4 linked regions of the Danio rerio genome follow. The protein of the gene in region 1 purifies or fractionates together with the protein of each later gene. This does not show direct contact. Links are inferred from orthologs where the notes say so. Each region holds a gene or a part of one and is shown on either strand. Other genes may lie near its edges.

Region 1 (4,178 bases):
ATAGGAGACCAAAGTAAAAAATTACAAAAAAAAGAGGGACATAAAACTGTTAATCATAACTGGTTCTGTTCTTTTTCCAACTAGACTGGAAAAATAAAAAGCTGTGTTTTAATAAACAAATGTAAAAAATAACCAAAATAGTAGAATATATAGTAAAAGTACTCAGGAAAATATTAACGTTTAACATTGGCTATATTGTTTTGGATGCATTTATAAAAGACAAAAAAGATGAGTCAAAATATATACAAGGTTGATGATATTTTTAAATAATGAGCTCTGACTTATCTGCAATCATTTGTATCTCATAATAACATTGTTCTCATGGAAACAAGTTTGTCTGACTTGAGCAATAAAACCACAACACAACAACAGGTGTATTGACAGTAGGTTTACAGATGCAGATGACAACTTACAATAACTTGCAACCCTAAGTGTAAGAAATTTGTGATGAAGTTGTGTTTAGTGCAGACATATTGATATTGATATTGAAATTGCCTATAGTCTATGAACACATACATCCATTATATATTATGCAGTACACACAGCATCTGATGTCCAAATAAGTTAGAAAAACATCAGGAATCCATGACCTCTAGGGGCTCCATGAAGTTACTACAGGGACACCAATATTAATTGTTTGACTACCAGATTGGGTTTAGACTAGAGAAAATGGGGAAAAAAAAAACCAAAATATAAACAAAACCAAAACACATTGTAATATATTGATATTTCATCTATTTGGAATTTTCAGTCTTTGATATGCTCTCCAAGGCTCCATTTATTTGGAAAATGCAGTAAATTCACTAATATTGAAAAACAGTCTTATACATTAAAATAGCAGTTTTCTATGCTAAAATATTTTTGAATGTAACCTATTTCCGTGAAGGCCAAAGTGAAATTTCAGCATTGTTGATCCACTCTTTAGAGTCACATGATCCTTTAGAAGTTATTCTAGCATGTTGATTTGGTGATCAAATAATGCTTCTCCCTATTATTAATATCAAAAAGAGTTTCAGATGCTTTTTCATTTTTAAAAGCGTATATGCAGTATAAAAAACATTTATTCACAAATGAGGCCTTACAATAATCAATAGTAACCTTAAACAGAAAAGAAAATGTATTTAAAAATATATTGTCAAATAATTGCTGTTCATGAAATGTTTTCAAACAAAAACTCTAAGAAAAATTAAGCATAATTCTCACAAAAAAATTAAACATCAATAACTGTTGATGACAATAAACATATTATAATAAATATTATAGAATAATATTATAATAATAAATATTACAATTAATAACAATGAGAAATAATATGACTATAAAATGTGTGCATGGTGAGCAGCATCTTAAGAATATGCATTTGTAACAGTTTGAGATCTTGTTAGGCATTTTTGAATATACAAACATGAAAATGTAGGCTTAATAATAATAATAATAATAATTCTAACAAACAAGTTAATAAATAATAAATGATCAATTAAAATGCAAAATTAAAATAACATTTAATCAATATAAATCATCAGGGTTCCCATTGAAAGCCAAATTCCCAGATTTTTACTTACTAAACCTGAATTTCCATGATCTATAAATATAATAAATGGGAAAACAGGCGGCTGTTGTGCTTTGCATACTATTAGAATGGTTTTAGCTTGAATGTCTTTTTGCATGTCTTTAATAGTTCTTATGAGAACAACAATATATAACTTAAGTCAGATTTAAAAATAAACCTGATGTACATACAGATTGTGTGGCTGTGAGGTGAATTATCCATCTCCCATATTTGATAGCTTGATAGCAGTTTTACCAACTTTACATTAAATTTTTCTGCCATATTGTTTTTAACACCCAGTCCTTTTCAAGTATTTATTTTGAAGCCAAAGCTATTAAATGTATAACAGGTAACATTATAACAGGTACATTCCAGCTATTGTGTTTAACGTAAATGTCTACTAGATGATAAATTGGAGCTGGAAATAGCCTGACCCTAACAATAGGTATAACATAGAGATAAGGGCAAAGTTTTGGTGGCCCACACAGCATTTAAAAATAAAAAAACCTCTGCAATATGTCACTTCATCTCGCAGGCTCTGGCCTGAAAAAAGTTAAAGACTCCTCCTGACTAAGTGTACACAAATTTTATTTTTATCAAAACTTGCTTTATTATCTCCTCCTATAACTGGTGCATTATGGCATTTTATGTCAGTATAATTCATTATGCAGGAAACAATAAACCAATCAATCACAATGCTTAAAATCAAACAGTAAATTAAATTGTCAACACTGAAAAACCATGAAGGAATTAGTTTAGTCTCACTCGATAGTATTCTTTTCTACGTTGGTATATAAAAATAAATCTTTTTTTATTTATTTAAAAACCCTTAATTCCAATATAACATTAATAAATCTAAGAAAAACAAGATGACATCCAAGACCCATGTCACCTAAATCCTGTCTCCTCAGACTCATGTGATACTGGACATCTGACACCACGACCATCCCGAACTATAGCTTCTTTACCAAATGATATGGGCCATTTCTAAATAATACACCGACCACACACACAAGCTGCATAAATAAATGATTAAACGAGTTGTTTATGTCTCTCTAACACCAATGTTTTGGCTAAGCAGCTCATCTAACATCCACTTACCACCGGCTAATTTGGGTATTCGTCCGATTTTGTTGGTTATTTCAGCGGTGAGGGTCCCAAAGTCCTGTTCGTACGCTTCAAAATCTGAAGACATGTTGTATTTTTAGTTTTAAAAGATTAAAAGAGCGATAAACTGAGCTGCGTTACACACTGTTGCTTGTGTCTGCTTCTTATTGACGTCCGCGTCACTTCCGGGTGGTGTCACGGGAATTTGTTCACGATTTCTTCCTGTCAATGGTTCCGCTGTGGGGTGAGTCGTGCGATTAATTGTTTGGTCTTCCTCGTTGAATTGCGTGTAGTTATTTTTGAAAACGGATTTAAGCTTTGACAGTATTACGATTGGCTAAATAGCGCGTTCACTGGGTCATATTAAGCGGCGCTGTCATTTTTCTTGGACTCTGACCGCACGAGGAAACAGTAGTCGAGGTACAGTATGTGTCAACGATTAATTTTTCATTTCAGTATAGAGTACAATTAACGATACATGGGTCATAATGAAAGATAAATGACGTCTTACATGTGTTAGTAACCTTGTTTTTTTGCCTTGAAGCATGTGTCATTGGTTAAGGTCTGCTATCATATAGATTGCTAGTTATAGATAAGGTCATTTCTACAGTTAAGACTTCAATATTTTACCTCATAAAATTGAATTATACCGCCTTTTGGTTGGATTTAAGTTTGTTTAGTATTTGAGCTGGACTGATTTACTTCATGCAGACTGACAGCAGACTGTTATTTTTTATGGCGTTTAAACATCGTGCGCTTTTGCCTTTAACCTTTAACCTTGCGTGTTGCACCAAAAATAGTGGAAGTAGTAAAATATAAACTAAATTATGCAACACATGAGCATAGAAACAAAGTTTGGGTGTGCCTTGGAAACAAGGTGTGCTGCCACTGAAGCACAATATTTGACAGGTAACATTACCCATTGTATTCATCACTTTATAATTGTAGTTTTCGTTTACAATAGATTCAGTTTTGTCATAATGGCAGTCAATGCTAAACAAATTAGCTCTAGAAGGCATATAGATAGTGAAGTAAATCATAAATTGATGTGTCTGACATGTCTAGTTTTGGTGTCGGCATTAAAAATGAAATAAACAAAAAAAATTTAATTTATATACATATTAGAAAACACTAAATGCAAGTGTCTACTTTCGGGTTTTAGATAACGTTCATGAAATTAAATAATGTTCTGTTGTCATTCACCTCAATTTAATGTAATTTATGTTAAAATTTATTAAAATACGATCGCTTCACAGCAAGAAGGTCACTGGTTTGAGCCTCAGCTAGGTCAGTTGGCATTTCTGTGTGGAGTTTGCATGTTCTCCACGTGTTGGCCTGGGTTTCCTCTCTGGGTGCTCCAGTTTCCCCCACAAGTCCAAAGACATTTGGTACAGGTGAAATGAATAAGCTAAATTGGCCATAGTGTATGTCTGTGAATGAGAGTATTCCCAGTGATAGGTTGCGGCTGAAAGGGTATCTACTGCGTAAAACATATGCTGGATAAGTTTGTGGTTCATTACGC
Region 2 (3,568 bases), on another chromosome or scaffold:
TTGGTGCATTTGTATTATACTCGGGGCTTCTACGCTTCTTGAAAGTGCTTGAATTTCAGACATGAATTTAAGCCCTGGAAAGTACTTAAAAACAAACGGAGACACTTAAAAGTGATAAAATAACAACATAAACTATTAATTTAAGCAATCAAAACTGAATAAATAAACAAAGAATTTATTAATTTAAAATCTTAAATTGAAATCTTGTACTAGAACTATGACAAATAATGCACATTTGAACAATATTTCACAAACTTCATGAAAGAGTGAGGACCTTGTATGCTGTTAAATATTGTTTAATATGTCACATATTATGACATGTAATAGCCAATGAAGCGTGTAAATACCCAAATATTATTACTATTACGGGGGAGGGGAAAAGGCATTTTTGAGGAAAAATGTTGACAAGCTGCTTCTTTGTTTGGGTTTCTAGGTTGCAACACATGCTATGGACAGCACTTTACTGAAATACAGCGCAAAGGACTATTTCTTTAAAGCTGCTCTCTGTCACTTCTGTGTTGACATGCTGAACGCTAAGGTATGAATCACACTGTTTAGGGCAAGCTGACATACAGCGGTTGTGTTGTTTTCAATCCCTCATTATTTTTGTCTTTGATGTCACCCCTTGCAGCTTGCCCTTCAGAAATACGAAGAAATGTTTCCAGCCTTCTCAGATTCTCGTGAATGCAAACTCATGAAGGTAAAACTAAATCTCAAGTTCAAGTGCTTGTAAATGACAAACCTTTAATTTGCCCTAAGTGTGTATTTAGGATTTTTTAGTAGTTTCTTATTCACCATTCCACAATGTAAGGCCTTAAAGGGATAAATTGAAAGTTACTCACTATTTACTCAGCCTAAACACCTTAAAAAGAAAATTATATAAAACCTTGACTTTTTCAAACTGCGAACCCATGCCTACCATAAAACAGCAGTAATATATATATATATATAATTTTTTTTTTAAATGGTTCCATTTTAAACATTTATCATAAATTATACATTGTATAATCATCATTATACTATGACTTGGCTAATTACCCGACTTCAACTGTATATAGAAAAACCCATACGCTTACTCGTATGCATCCCGGGATTAATAAATCCACTGTTTTATCAGAAAGAGTGAGATCAGTGGGTTATCTGCATATCCATGATGCAAATAGAAGTTTTTGTGTCTGTAAAGGGATCTTTATCATCCTGATGAGATTAAAAAAATAGTCAAAACATGAGTGATTAGATGACAGTACTGCTTCATTTTTACAAGTGGTCTGATCTTCACTTTCTTTGATTGTCTTTGTATTTTGGGGGGTGTTGGGGAACCAACTGGTCTGTCAGTTGAAGAAGACCCCAAAGTCAAATATTTGATCAAAGAAAGTTTACTGGAGATAGTTTGCAGTTTTATCTGCAGGAGCCAGCTTCAACACTCAGATCAACAACAATTCTACCCATCACTAACTGCGTCATACATATAGGAGTTTTAACCTGATTGGTTGAAGCACAGATAAACTTATAAAATGTCCAAATGTGTGCGTACAGTTCAGAACAATATCTTCAATGATTACATTGGCGTCAAGCCTACAAAGATCAGACACAACAGGAGGATGTTTCTCACAACTCGCGCACGCACACACACACACACACATGCATACACAAATAATACTTCTCTACTTCAAGGATGTCTTGCTCTCTAGCAGGCATCTTATCAGAATGGTACAATAAACATCTTTCCACTGATGGCTAACTAAGCATGAAGAATCTTAAAATAATTTATTCTCTAACACAGTAAAATTGACATCTAGCGACAGCTGTTCAAGTAGCATCAAACATCCAGGCCTCTTTGATGTGCCTGAAGGTCCTGAGGAAACAAATCGTTTGGCATACAGAAAAAGCAATGGCACGGATATCATACCAGTGTTACTTTTGAAGAGGGAGAACACTAATGTCATTATATAATCTAGGCCCTTAAACATTCAAATTTTATTAATAAGTGGGGTTTATTTATAAACTAACTTCGAGAGGATCACATGCTTATTATTGAACACAGCTGGTCATGCATTAGCCAATCCATGATTCACCAATCAGACATTTCTTTAGTCTCTATAAAAACCCTAAGTAACATAACACAGCCATCTTCATTTTACAGAATCCCCCCTTCCACCCCTACTCCTCCTTTCTTAGATCGGCAGCACAGTGGCCCAATAGTTGGCACTGTCGCCTCACAGCAAGAACGTCAATGGTCCTTACTTAGCCAGTCAACATTTCTGTGTGGAGTTTACATGTTCTCTCTGTGCTCCTAGATAGACATGTCATAGACATGCTCCTAGTAAGTAGTTTTTTCTTGAGAGCAATTTCATCTGTTGATTAGTTATCACAGTTTTCAAGATCTACCTGAGCTCAAACTCCCCTCTCGCCTTGCAATGGGAGGGAGCCCTGGGCTCGAGGATCTTATGAGCTTAAGGCTCTCTCTTGGGACAGCATGCCAAACATGCTTAATAATCAATCATCAGCTAAGTGTGAACTCTTGAATCATAAACAGATACAAAAGGACAGGTGTTACTCGGGGTTCTGCCGGTTTCACCAAGTTAAATTTAAGACTTTTTAAGACATTTTTAAGACCATTAAGAATGAAATTTAAGACTCAAGGGCTAAAAGTTAAGGATTTTTTTAATGGCCCAGATGGAAAAGATTTTTATTTGCCTCATCAAAAAAAAAAAAAAAAAAAAGAAATTTATAATTAAATACATTTAACAATACAATTATATATTAATAATAAAAAATATATGAAGAGTTCGGATGCAAAATCTTCTAAGTGAGTTTTTTTTCTAAAATTATTTTTTTTTTTCAGGCTTATATTGTATTAGTTGAGTAATTTCCCTTTTATGTCAATTAATATGTTATTTAGATTGCCTTTAATGCAAAATTAGTAAACATAAATATGGGAGTATCCGAAAAATGTTTCTTCTCTTGACTTGTTTGCCGTTCTGTCCTTTCACTTTAGTTAAAGCTCCAGACAAAGTGTCAGACAATTACATTCCTAAGAGAATGCATGCATCACCCTGTGTAAATTTGTAAACCTCAGCATAAAAAAGTATAGGATGCAGTAAAAAAAAAAAAAAAAACTAAAAGATCTTGTTTAGGGAATCAAATTTCCCAATATTCTGGATCGCAGCTTCGAGTTCATTTGTTAAACCCTCTGACCATGCTACTACATTTATTTATTTAGCAGATGCCTTTATCCAAAGGGACTAAAAAATAAAAAAAATTTCTTGCTAAAAACAACTTTGAGCCAAGAAAAAACAAACACTTTTATTTAATTTTATAGATTGTGATTGGTTGTCCAAAAAGATGGAGAATAAAGAGCAAGGGTCTTAAACAGTGTTTGTTTTAAGGCTGGGACACGGCAAGTTGACAGTCGGCCATTGAGTGCTGTCGGGCTGTCAGCATGTAGAATCGGCGTTGGTGGAAGAGATGGGTCAGATTGATTATTCAGCAATGAATCAGACCACGAGATTAAAACTGATAATTAGCAATCAGCTCCTGCATTCTTAAATCGTATTAAGTTTCCTTA
Region 3 (4,345 bases), on another chromosome or scaffold:
CCTCCAAGTCCCATTCAATGGACCTCAAACTGTTTCGTAATTCGTTGGTGGTCCAGTCCACTTCCTCCTTGCTGGCTCCACCCGCGTCCTGTAGCAGCTCTATCCATCTCTGATGAAGACCTTGAGCTGTGTTTACAGCCTTCTGCACCTCTCTAAGACAAATACATTCAATTAAGCCTCAAGGTTAATTGACCTACTACAATGTAGACAAGAATACTACAGAGTGTGCAGATAATTATGAAAATTATAAACATATGATCATAATTGTTTTTTTCCAAAGAGAATTTGACCAGTTCTCAAATACATCGTTCTTAGCCAAATACTAAAATATTTTACTTGTAATTTATTATTAATAAGTGTTATTAGTATTATTATTTAGAATAATTATTATTAAATTGAAAATTAATAGACTGTCTGATGTGTATAATCATTAAGCAGGAAAATAGCCCATAAAAAAGATGCAACTCTCACTAAAAAGTCAAAAATAATGGATGCGATCCTATAAAAAATGTGATAAATTAAAGGTGCTGTGAAGTGCTTTAAAATTAGCATTTTGAATTTGATTTCTTCGTTGTAATCTGAAATAAAATTCATGAAGACAGGGTGGGACATAGAGTAGCCCCTCTCCTTTATAAAAAACATCCAAGAGTGTTTCGTTTTTAATCACAGCTCTGCCAGTGAGAGTGGTTGATCTCAAAAAAGATGCATCAATGGATAAAGCAAATGAAAAGCATCTTGAGGGGGGTGGGTATGTCAGACACTAGAGAGTATTTGATTGGTCAGAATATTTGATGAGAAACTACAATAGATAACCCCCAATAATATAAATCCCCACTTTATAAAAACCAATAGCTGAAGTGTTATACAATACTGATTTCTTTTAAGGACAGCTTATGTATCTGTCTTCCTCCTGCCCTAGTTAGTATTTGTCGTTCAATAGTAATACCTTAATTTTACAGGTTTATTAATGCTGTGATCTTCTTTTGGTCGTTTAATATATATACAAAACGAAGGGCCCAAAAAGGAGGTGTAACATTGGGAAAATATATATATATATATATATATATATATATATATATATATATATATATATATATATATATATATATATATATATATACATACATACATACATACATACATATATATATATATATATATATATATATATATATATATATATATATATATATATATATATATATATATATTTTTTTTTTTTTTTTTCCTCCCCAATGTTACACCTCCTTTTGGTCCCTTCGTTTTGACATGTCAAAATAAACCTGCTTCATAAATATGCACATCTAAATATAATTATCTTACACCCCCAGTGCTTGTTAAAAAATTACACGTAACTTATTAATGATTATACACAATATCAATACTAGGGCTGCACAATATATCGTTTCAGCATCAATATCGCAATGTAGTCATTCGCAATAGTCACATCGCAGGTTGTGCAATGTTGAGTCTGTAGTATAATCTATCATTTTCATGTTTTTTTGGACAGTAGGATTTTAAAACCAGAGGCATAAAAAATTTTACCATTTGTAAGTTAACGTTAGACGTAAAAATGATAAAACACTGTTTATTTATCTTTTTTTATTGTTTGATCTATGCTTGTGGATAGTTTATTATAATTATTGCAGATGCACTTTTCTGCAGAATCATCTGAATCAGATAATTATATCGCAGAATAACTAAATATCGCAATGTTAGATTTTTCCAATATCATACAATCAACACTTAAGAAGTGTGAAATCGGTACAATTAAACAATAATTATGCACGCACTTTATTACAGCGCCTAGACTGCAGTTCTGCACAAGACGTTTGGCCACAGGAGAAACGGTCGTGCTCAACTGAGCCTGGTTTCGCTCAAGTTTTTTTAATTCTTCACTTTCGCCAATTGGTGAAGTTTTTTTCCCTTGCCACTGGCTTGCATGGTTTGGGAGCAGTGGAGCTGCGCATCGATGGATTTGCTTTTCAGTGTTTAAACTCTCAGCAGTAAAAATTAAACCACACTGAACTGAATGGACTGAACTAAACTGAACTTCAACACAAAAATAAGCTGACACTGTTTCAATTTACTATAATCTTCTATGTGAAGCTGCTTTGACACAATCTAGATTGTAAAAGCGCTATAGAAATAAAAGATGAACTGAATTGAAAGGTTTTACTATGATAATGCAATGCTTTTGGATGTCTGACATGGAAAAAACTATGCTATTACGTTACTATCCAAAAGCATACCATAATATGTATCCCCAAAAAGTGACAAACATGGTAACGTTACATATTTGTAAATCCTAACTTATAGCAAAACGCAGATGTCTGGCAACCCAAAACAATACCACTTTAAAGGGAAGACGACACAAATATCGATTAACGCTATGAAGCGTTTGAGAAAAAAATCGATAATTATGGTTGCCATGACAACACGATAACGATCTTACCGAAACAGCTGCTTTAAATGGTGCCGAGTATCAACGTAGGACAAGTCAAATAGCTAATGTACGTAAAGTTTAAAATAATTAACGTTACTCCAATCTGATTCCTGAAAGTGTCTAATTCGACATCTTATATTCGCCCCTAGTCTCCGATCTAAGCCCTGAAACTCACCCTTTCACCACGAAAAACGGATCTTCCATCGACATTTTGCTGCTCAGATGAGTCGATGAGTGGGGTGCGATAATCTCATGCTCCTGACCGCGGCTGGTTTAGCTTTACTTGGACAAAGGAGAGCGCTTTACGTGTTGTTTACATGCGGGACAGAGCCCGGATCCGCTCAGCCGCCATTGCCCGGCGGAATCACATCCGGGTCCTCGAGCGTCTAGACACACGCACGCGCCTGGGCAGATAAACAGCAGCACGGGTTGTTTTGGTTTGTTGAAGTAAAAGAACAAAGCGTTGCCACTAATATGCAAAATGCCTAAATATAAAATATACTTACGAGATATTAGTTTAATTTAGATAATGCTTTAAATATATGTTGGTAGTCAGCATTCTGTCTATTCATCATCCAGGCAATATTATGTAAAGTAGCTTACCATTATTATTATAATAAATCTACTATATGTAAATGTTTACGTAATTGAAAGCTAATTTATAGTTTATGCGTTAAACATATGCTGGTATAGTTGGTGGTTCATTCCACTGTGGTGACCTCTAATAAATAAGGGGACTAAGTCGAAGGAAAATGAATAAAGGAATTTATAACATACTAAAATATTGAACCTACGTCCTCAAAATTAAATTTAACTGAATCATTATACACCGACTTCAAAATGATTACCTTTTGATTTGCCACCAAAATTAACATAAAATAAGAATATTATTATTCACAGAAAATTCACAGTAAATAAAAAATAAAATCCATGTTTTCAGATCTTAGATATTTTGAACTATTGTAAAAGCACACATACATATAGTCCTCCTAACATTTATATATGTGTGTGTAGCCTTTTACGTATGTGTACAATAATTGTATAGTAACATAAAAATGTAACAGGCGACATGGTGGCTCAGTGGTTAGCTCTGTTGCCTCACAGCAAGAAGGTCACTGGTTCGAGTCCCTGCTGGGCCAGTTGACATTTCTGTGTGCAGTTTACATGTTCTCCATGCCGTGTGGGTTTCCTCCGGGTACTCCGGTTTCCCCCACAAGTCCAAAGGCATGCGCTAGGTGAATTTCATAAACTAAATTGTTTGTAGTGTATGTGTGTGAATGTAAGATTGTATGGATGTTTCCCAGTACTGGGTTGCAGCTGGAAATGCATCCGCTGTGTAAAACATATGCTGGAAAAGTTGGTGATTCAGTCGCTGTGGCGACCACAGATTAATAAAGGGACTAAGCCAAAAAGAAAATGAATGAATGTGTGTGAATGAGTGTGTATGGAGGGTTCCCAGTACTGGGTTGCAGCTCTAATGCCAACAGCTGTTCCAAAACATATGCTGGATAAGTTGGTGGTTCATTCCTCTGTGGTGACCACTGATTAATAAAGTGACTAAGCTGAAGAAAAATGAATGAAAATGTATGAATGAATGAGCTACAATCTGATACCATTGTGTGTATTATGGTGCCACCGGTATTTTTTATTTATTATTTATTTAAACATATACTTTATTTAAGTATATTAAACACTTATGTAATAAGTGTGTATTAATATTAATACAATTATACATTTTATTACAGATAATCTAAAATAATAGGGGTCAAAACTATGGGTTTCCCACTGCTTTCTCTTCATCCTTGTATCTGCAGCTCGTCTGTGTACTGAAACACAGTTCTTCATCCATTATTCATCACAGCGCGCCGCCTGCTCATTAGTTGACTATCTACACCAGTG
Region 4 (4,262 bases), on another chromosome or scaffold:
TTTTTTTATTGAATACAAGAATAATAACATCACTGCATTGAAGAAAAAATACAATAATAAAAAATAAGAAAGAAGACAGAGAGAAAAAAAAATACACAGCCTCAATCATTAAGAAAAAAAATTGTCATAAGCTTTAAGAAACTTCTTATTATTATAATTAATAAGCTTAAGAGATTCAATATTGTACGAAATTTCAACAAGGAAAGTATTAAAATAGGTATTGTTTTTAGAAACTTGTTTTTGTGTATAAAAAATTTACAGAGTAACACAAAAAACAAAATTACAATAAGATCGAGAGCATGATCATCATCCAAGAAATACAGAAATATATCTTTTATAGACAAATTTAAATCATGTTTAAAAATGGATGATAAATAAAAAATAATGTAATTCCAAAGATGTTTAATGTGAATGCAACTATAGAATAAGTGAAATAAAGTCTCTTCATGTATATTGCAGAAAGTACACAAATTAGATATATCAAAATAATTAGCAATTTGGGAATTTGTAGGATAAACATTATGCAAGATCTTAAAATGTATCTCTCCTATTTTGTTGGATATGCTGAATTTGTCAGGTAATAACCATAAAATTTACATCTTGGGGTGGTATATACAGAGGAATGTAACAATCGTCTGACATGTCTGTTGTCACATTTTTTATCAAAAAAAGACACTCCATCCAAAAAAAGTTCAGGCATAATTGTTTCCCTCTCATTAAAGTAAACAAAAGTCTTAAATAAATGCACATAACTTTGTGACAAACTCTTTAGAACACAGTTGAAGGATTAAGCTGGCAAAGAGAAGTTATACAATGTCATAAATTATTCATATTCCAAAATATTGCCATCATTTTAAAATAAGTCCAAAACAAAAACAATTCCTCTTTCAAACCACTTATCAATAAAAAGAGATTTCCCACGAGTTAAGACATTAGAGTTATTCCAAAGAATTTCTTTGTGTGGGGAAAAATTGTGCACGTAACACAATTTCCAAGCAAGTAAAGCTTGTTTGTGAAAATTACAGAGGGAAATTGGCAATTTAGAAGGGATTAAATTACATTTTAAAAGAAAGTCTAAGCCACCTAATTTATCAAATATAACATTGGGGATATGGTAGCAAATTGAATTATTACTACGGAGACATCTTTGTAGCCAATTAATTCTAAATGAGCTATGCCTAATTAAATCTTTGAAATTTAAAACCTCTAATCCACCCTCTGAGCGCCTATTAGATGAGACTGATTTTCTAATTTTATGGGTTTTATTCTTCCATATGAAGTTCAATAACACTTTATTTACATAATCAGCAATTTTGTCATTGATAAAAAGAGACATCGCAGGACAAACACAACGAGACATCGGTTACCGTATGAAGTGTGTCTATGAAAGGCCACCGTATGACGTCGTTCCTTAACAGGAAGTGGCACTGCGCAGTTTATGTTGATGTGATTTTGCTGTGAGTTTCTGCTAAAACGCTTTTTGCAAACTCGAAACAAAAGTACCGCAACATGTCAAAAGACCTTTGGTGAGTGCCTATACTATTATTATTTACTGTCATGTTAGATCTGCATGTCAGGACAGTACGTTAGACTTCAGACTTCAACACTATTAATTTAGTGCATCTGTAACTGACAGTCAGATCAGTTTAACTTTAACGCTAGACTAATTTATCTATTTTTTTTTCTACTCCCCAGGGCTCATTTTACCCTATACTTTAATTGATCAATTATGTTTTCGTTCACATATTGCTGTTTTTACGCGTCTTGTAAAGGTTGCCAAGCCGGTTAGCTGACATTTGATTGTCACATGATTGTGTTGATGACAACCTTGTGATTTAAATAACTGGAAACCCTTATCTCATGATCCCCATTGGAAGATTTTGATAAGTGTAATCTGTGTTTTGTTTACAGGTTAGAAAATTATGATGCAGCTTGTAGGCTGGCTCAAGAAATTGCAGAAAACATCCATGAAAGAAACAGACAGCAGAGGACTGGAGGAAACCCAGCCAAGGCAAGGCAGGATTTGATTGTTTACATCAGGGGTCTCAAACTCAATGGCGGGGGGCCATATTAGTGACTGACGATTCATATGAAGCACAAGAAAAAAGTGGAAATCTGATGTAATACATTCTTACACTCATACATTCTTCCCCAGTTTATCAAAACTCCTTTTAGTTTCTCGTTGTATATGTTGAAGGGGTTGTTTAAATTGTTATGAAAATACCACATTATATAAGCATAATAATCATAATTATGTCCCAATCAATTGTTGCTTTACCAGATGTTTAACCGATAGCGTAAAACATCAGAAAAGAGTTTGAATAACTTTGTTGATTGTACTGGCAATTGTTCTTCTCAATGTCCTTCTTTTTTTTTTAAACTACAAGAGAGGAAACGTTTTTATGTATGTATTCACGTTTACTTTAACATGTGCAATTTAGCCAGCAGTAAAATTTTACTAATGCACATTTTTTATACAATTCTTAATATGCATATTAGAAAAATATATTAAGGATACATTTTTGAATTGAATATTAGCAAAATAATCATATTTACACTACTAACATAACGTGTAAGCCTTGAAGAGGTGTTTGTAAAAATAGAGCACGTACAGACATATGTTTCAACTTTTACATTAGCCCCAGAAATAATCTGCATGTGCATTACTCTCAACTGCACACTGAGAGAAACAGAAAGTAACCTGCATATATTGTACAGTACTTTAAATGTCCTGTAGGTGGGGGTCAAAAACATAAGAGGCTATATGCAACTGCACAAAGATAGTGACTCTAAAAAAATATATTTTTTTGTTGGGCCGAATCTCATTATATTTTTCATGTCAATTTCGGGCTGAAAGAAAAAGGAGGAGGGTGGCCACAAATGGCCCACAGCCAGGCAGTTTGAGACCCCTGGTTTACATGAGATAGTTAACCAATCTTTTACACAATATAATAATCTCTCTTGTTGCTTTTCCATCCATGTAGATCAACATGACCCTGAGAGCATCATTACAGAAGCTAAAACAGAATATAGCACAACTCAGAGAGACTCTGAATCGAGCAGCTGTTCAACGCCATATGTATCCTTTCATTTACTTGACTGCACTTTCATTTCACAGAGGCCAAAGCGCCTTACAATTGAGGAATCATTCAGCGATTGAAGAAGCAATACAGTCAAGGAGTGCCAGTAATACAAAGGGACTGTTTGTGGCCAGAGAATTAAGTGCCAGCATTAGGAGGAGGGAGTTTATTTTTCTTTTTTTGAGAGAGAGTGAAAGGTGTTTTTACAGGTACTACATGTATAGTGTTTTTTGGAGTGATTATAAGAACCTGCTTTGTGCAAATGTGCAAAAACTGATGCAAGTGTTGTTTAAAGTGTCAGAGAGATGAAAGAGCATGTTTTCTACATGTGGTTTGTTAAGCCCACTCACCTGTGTGAGGCAAACTTCATGAATGCATAGTTTTTTTTTAAAGATATGAAGTGATTGTAAAAATGTGCCTTGAGCAAATGTGTAAACTGATGCAAGTGTTGTTTAAAGTGTCAGAGAGATGAAGGAGTGTGTTTTCTACTGGTGGTTTGTCAAGCCCACTCACCTGTGTGAGGCACACTTCATGAATGTATAGTGTTTTTTTTTAAGATATGGAGTGATTGAAAGAATGTGCCAGGTGCAAATGTGCAAACTGATGCAAGTGTTGTTTAAAGTGTCAGAGAGATGAAAGAGTGTGTTTTCTACATGTGGTTTGTTAGGCCCACTTACCTATGTGAGGCAAACTTTATGAATGCATAGTTTTTTTTAAAGATATGAAGTAATAGTAAGAATGTGCCTGGTGCAAATGTGCAAACTGATGCATGTGGTGTTTAAAGTGTCAGAGAGATGAAAGAGCGTGTTTTCTACAGGTGGTTTGTTAAGCCCACTTACCTGTGTGAGGCACACTTCATGAATGCATAGTTTTTTTTAAAGATATGAAGTGATTGTAAGAACGTGCCTGGTGCAAATGTGCAAACTGATTGAAGTGTCGGTTAGGGTTAGGTGTCAGAGAGATGAAAGACTGTGTTTTCTACAGGTGGTTTGTCAAGCCCATTCACTTGTATGAATCACACTCAGAATTGACTATGTTTTGGGGTTGTCCTGTAGTTCTGTGTAGTTGCTTCACAAAACCAAGAAAGTTGAATCCAGCAATTAGGATTATAATGACTTCTTTATGATTGTTTGTTTTGCAGTATCATTGAGAACTAAGATTTTCTAAATTAGTTTGAATCCT

What was found.
Region 2: the proteins of vti1a (region 1) and napab purify together in Homo sapiens (affinity purification with mass spectrometry; 3 studies listed by BioGRID and IntAct, with this or other methods). This does not show direct contact. The link is inferred for Danio rerio from reciprocal best matches to the Homo sapiens genes VTI1A and NAPA.
Region 3: the proteins of vti1a (region 1) and stx6 purify together in Homo sapiens (affinity purification with mass spectrometry; 3 studies listed by BioGRID and IntAct, counting the BioPlex papers as one, with this or other methods). This does not show direct contact. The link is inferred for Danio rerio from reciprocal best matches to the Homo sapiens genes VTI1A and STX6.
Region 4: the proteins of vti1a (region 1) and stx8 purify together in Homo sapiens (affinity purification with mass spectrometry; 3 studies listed by BioGRID and IntAct, with this or other methods). This does not show direct contact. The link is inferred for Danio rerio from reciprocal best matches to the Homo sapiens genes VTI1A and STX8.

Annotation. Positions count from the first base shown.
Region 1 is NC_133187.1:33,314,058-33,318,235, forward strand, and holds the start of vti1a (vesicle transport through interaction with t-SNAREs homolog 1A), read right to left. Parts: upstream 2,846-4,178; 5' UTR 2,745-2,845; coding exon 2,651-2,744; intron 1-2,650. UniProt on the Homo sapiens protein: V-SNARE that mediates vesicle transport pathways through interactions with t-SNAREs on the target membrane. These interactions are proposed to mediate aspects of the specificity of vesicle trafficking and to promote fusion of the lipid bilayers.
Region 2 is NC_133193.1:47,646,266-47,649,833, forward strand, and holds part of napab (N-ethylmaleimide-sensitive factor attachment protein, alpha b), read left to right. Parts: intron 1-433; coding exon 434-538; intron 539-631; coding exon 632-700; intron 701-3,568. UniProt on the Homo sapiens protein: Required for vesicular transport between the endoplasmic reticulum and the Golgi apparatus. Together with GNA12 promotes CDH5 localization to plasma membrane.
Region 3 is NC_133197.1:16,196,143-16,200,487, forward strand, and holds the start of stx6 (syntaxin-6), read right to left. Parts: upstream 2,804-4,345; 5' UTR 2,657-2,803; coding exon 2,622-2,656; intron 153-2,621; coding exon 1-152. UniProt on the Homo sapiens protein: SNARE promoting movement of transport vesicles to target membranes. Targets endosomes to the trans-Golgi network, and may therefore function in retrograde trafficking.
Region 4 is NC_133181.1:25,761,289-25,765,550, forward strand, and holds the start of stx8 (syntaxin-8), read left to right. Parts: upstream 1-1,457; 5' UTR 1,458-1,509; coding exon 1,510-1,526; intron 1,527-1,911; coding exon 1,912-2,011; intron 2,012-2,984; coding exon 2,985-3,079; intron 3,080-4,262. UniProt on the Homo sapiens protein: Vesicle trafficking protein that functions in the early secretory pathway, possibly by mediating retrograde transport from cis-Golgi membranes to the ER.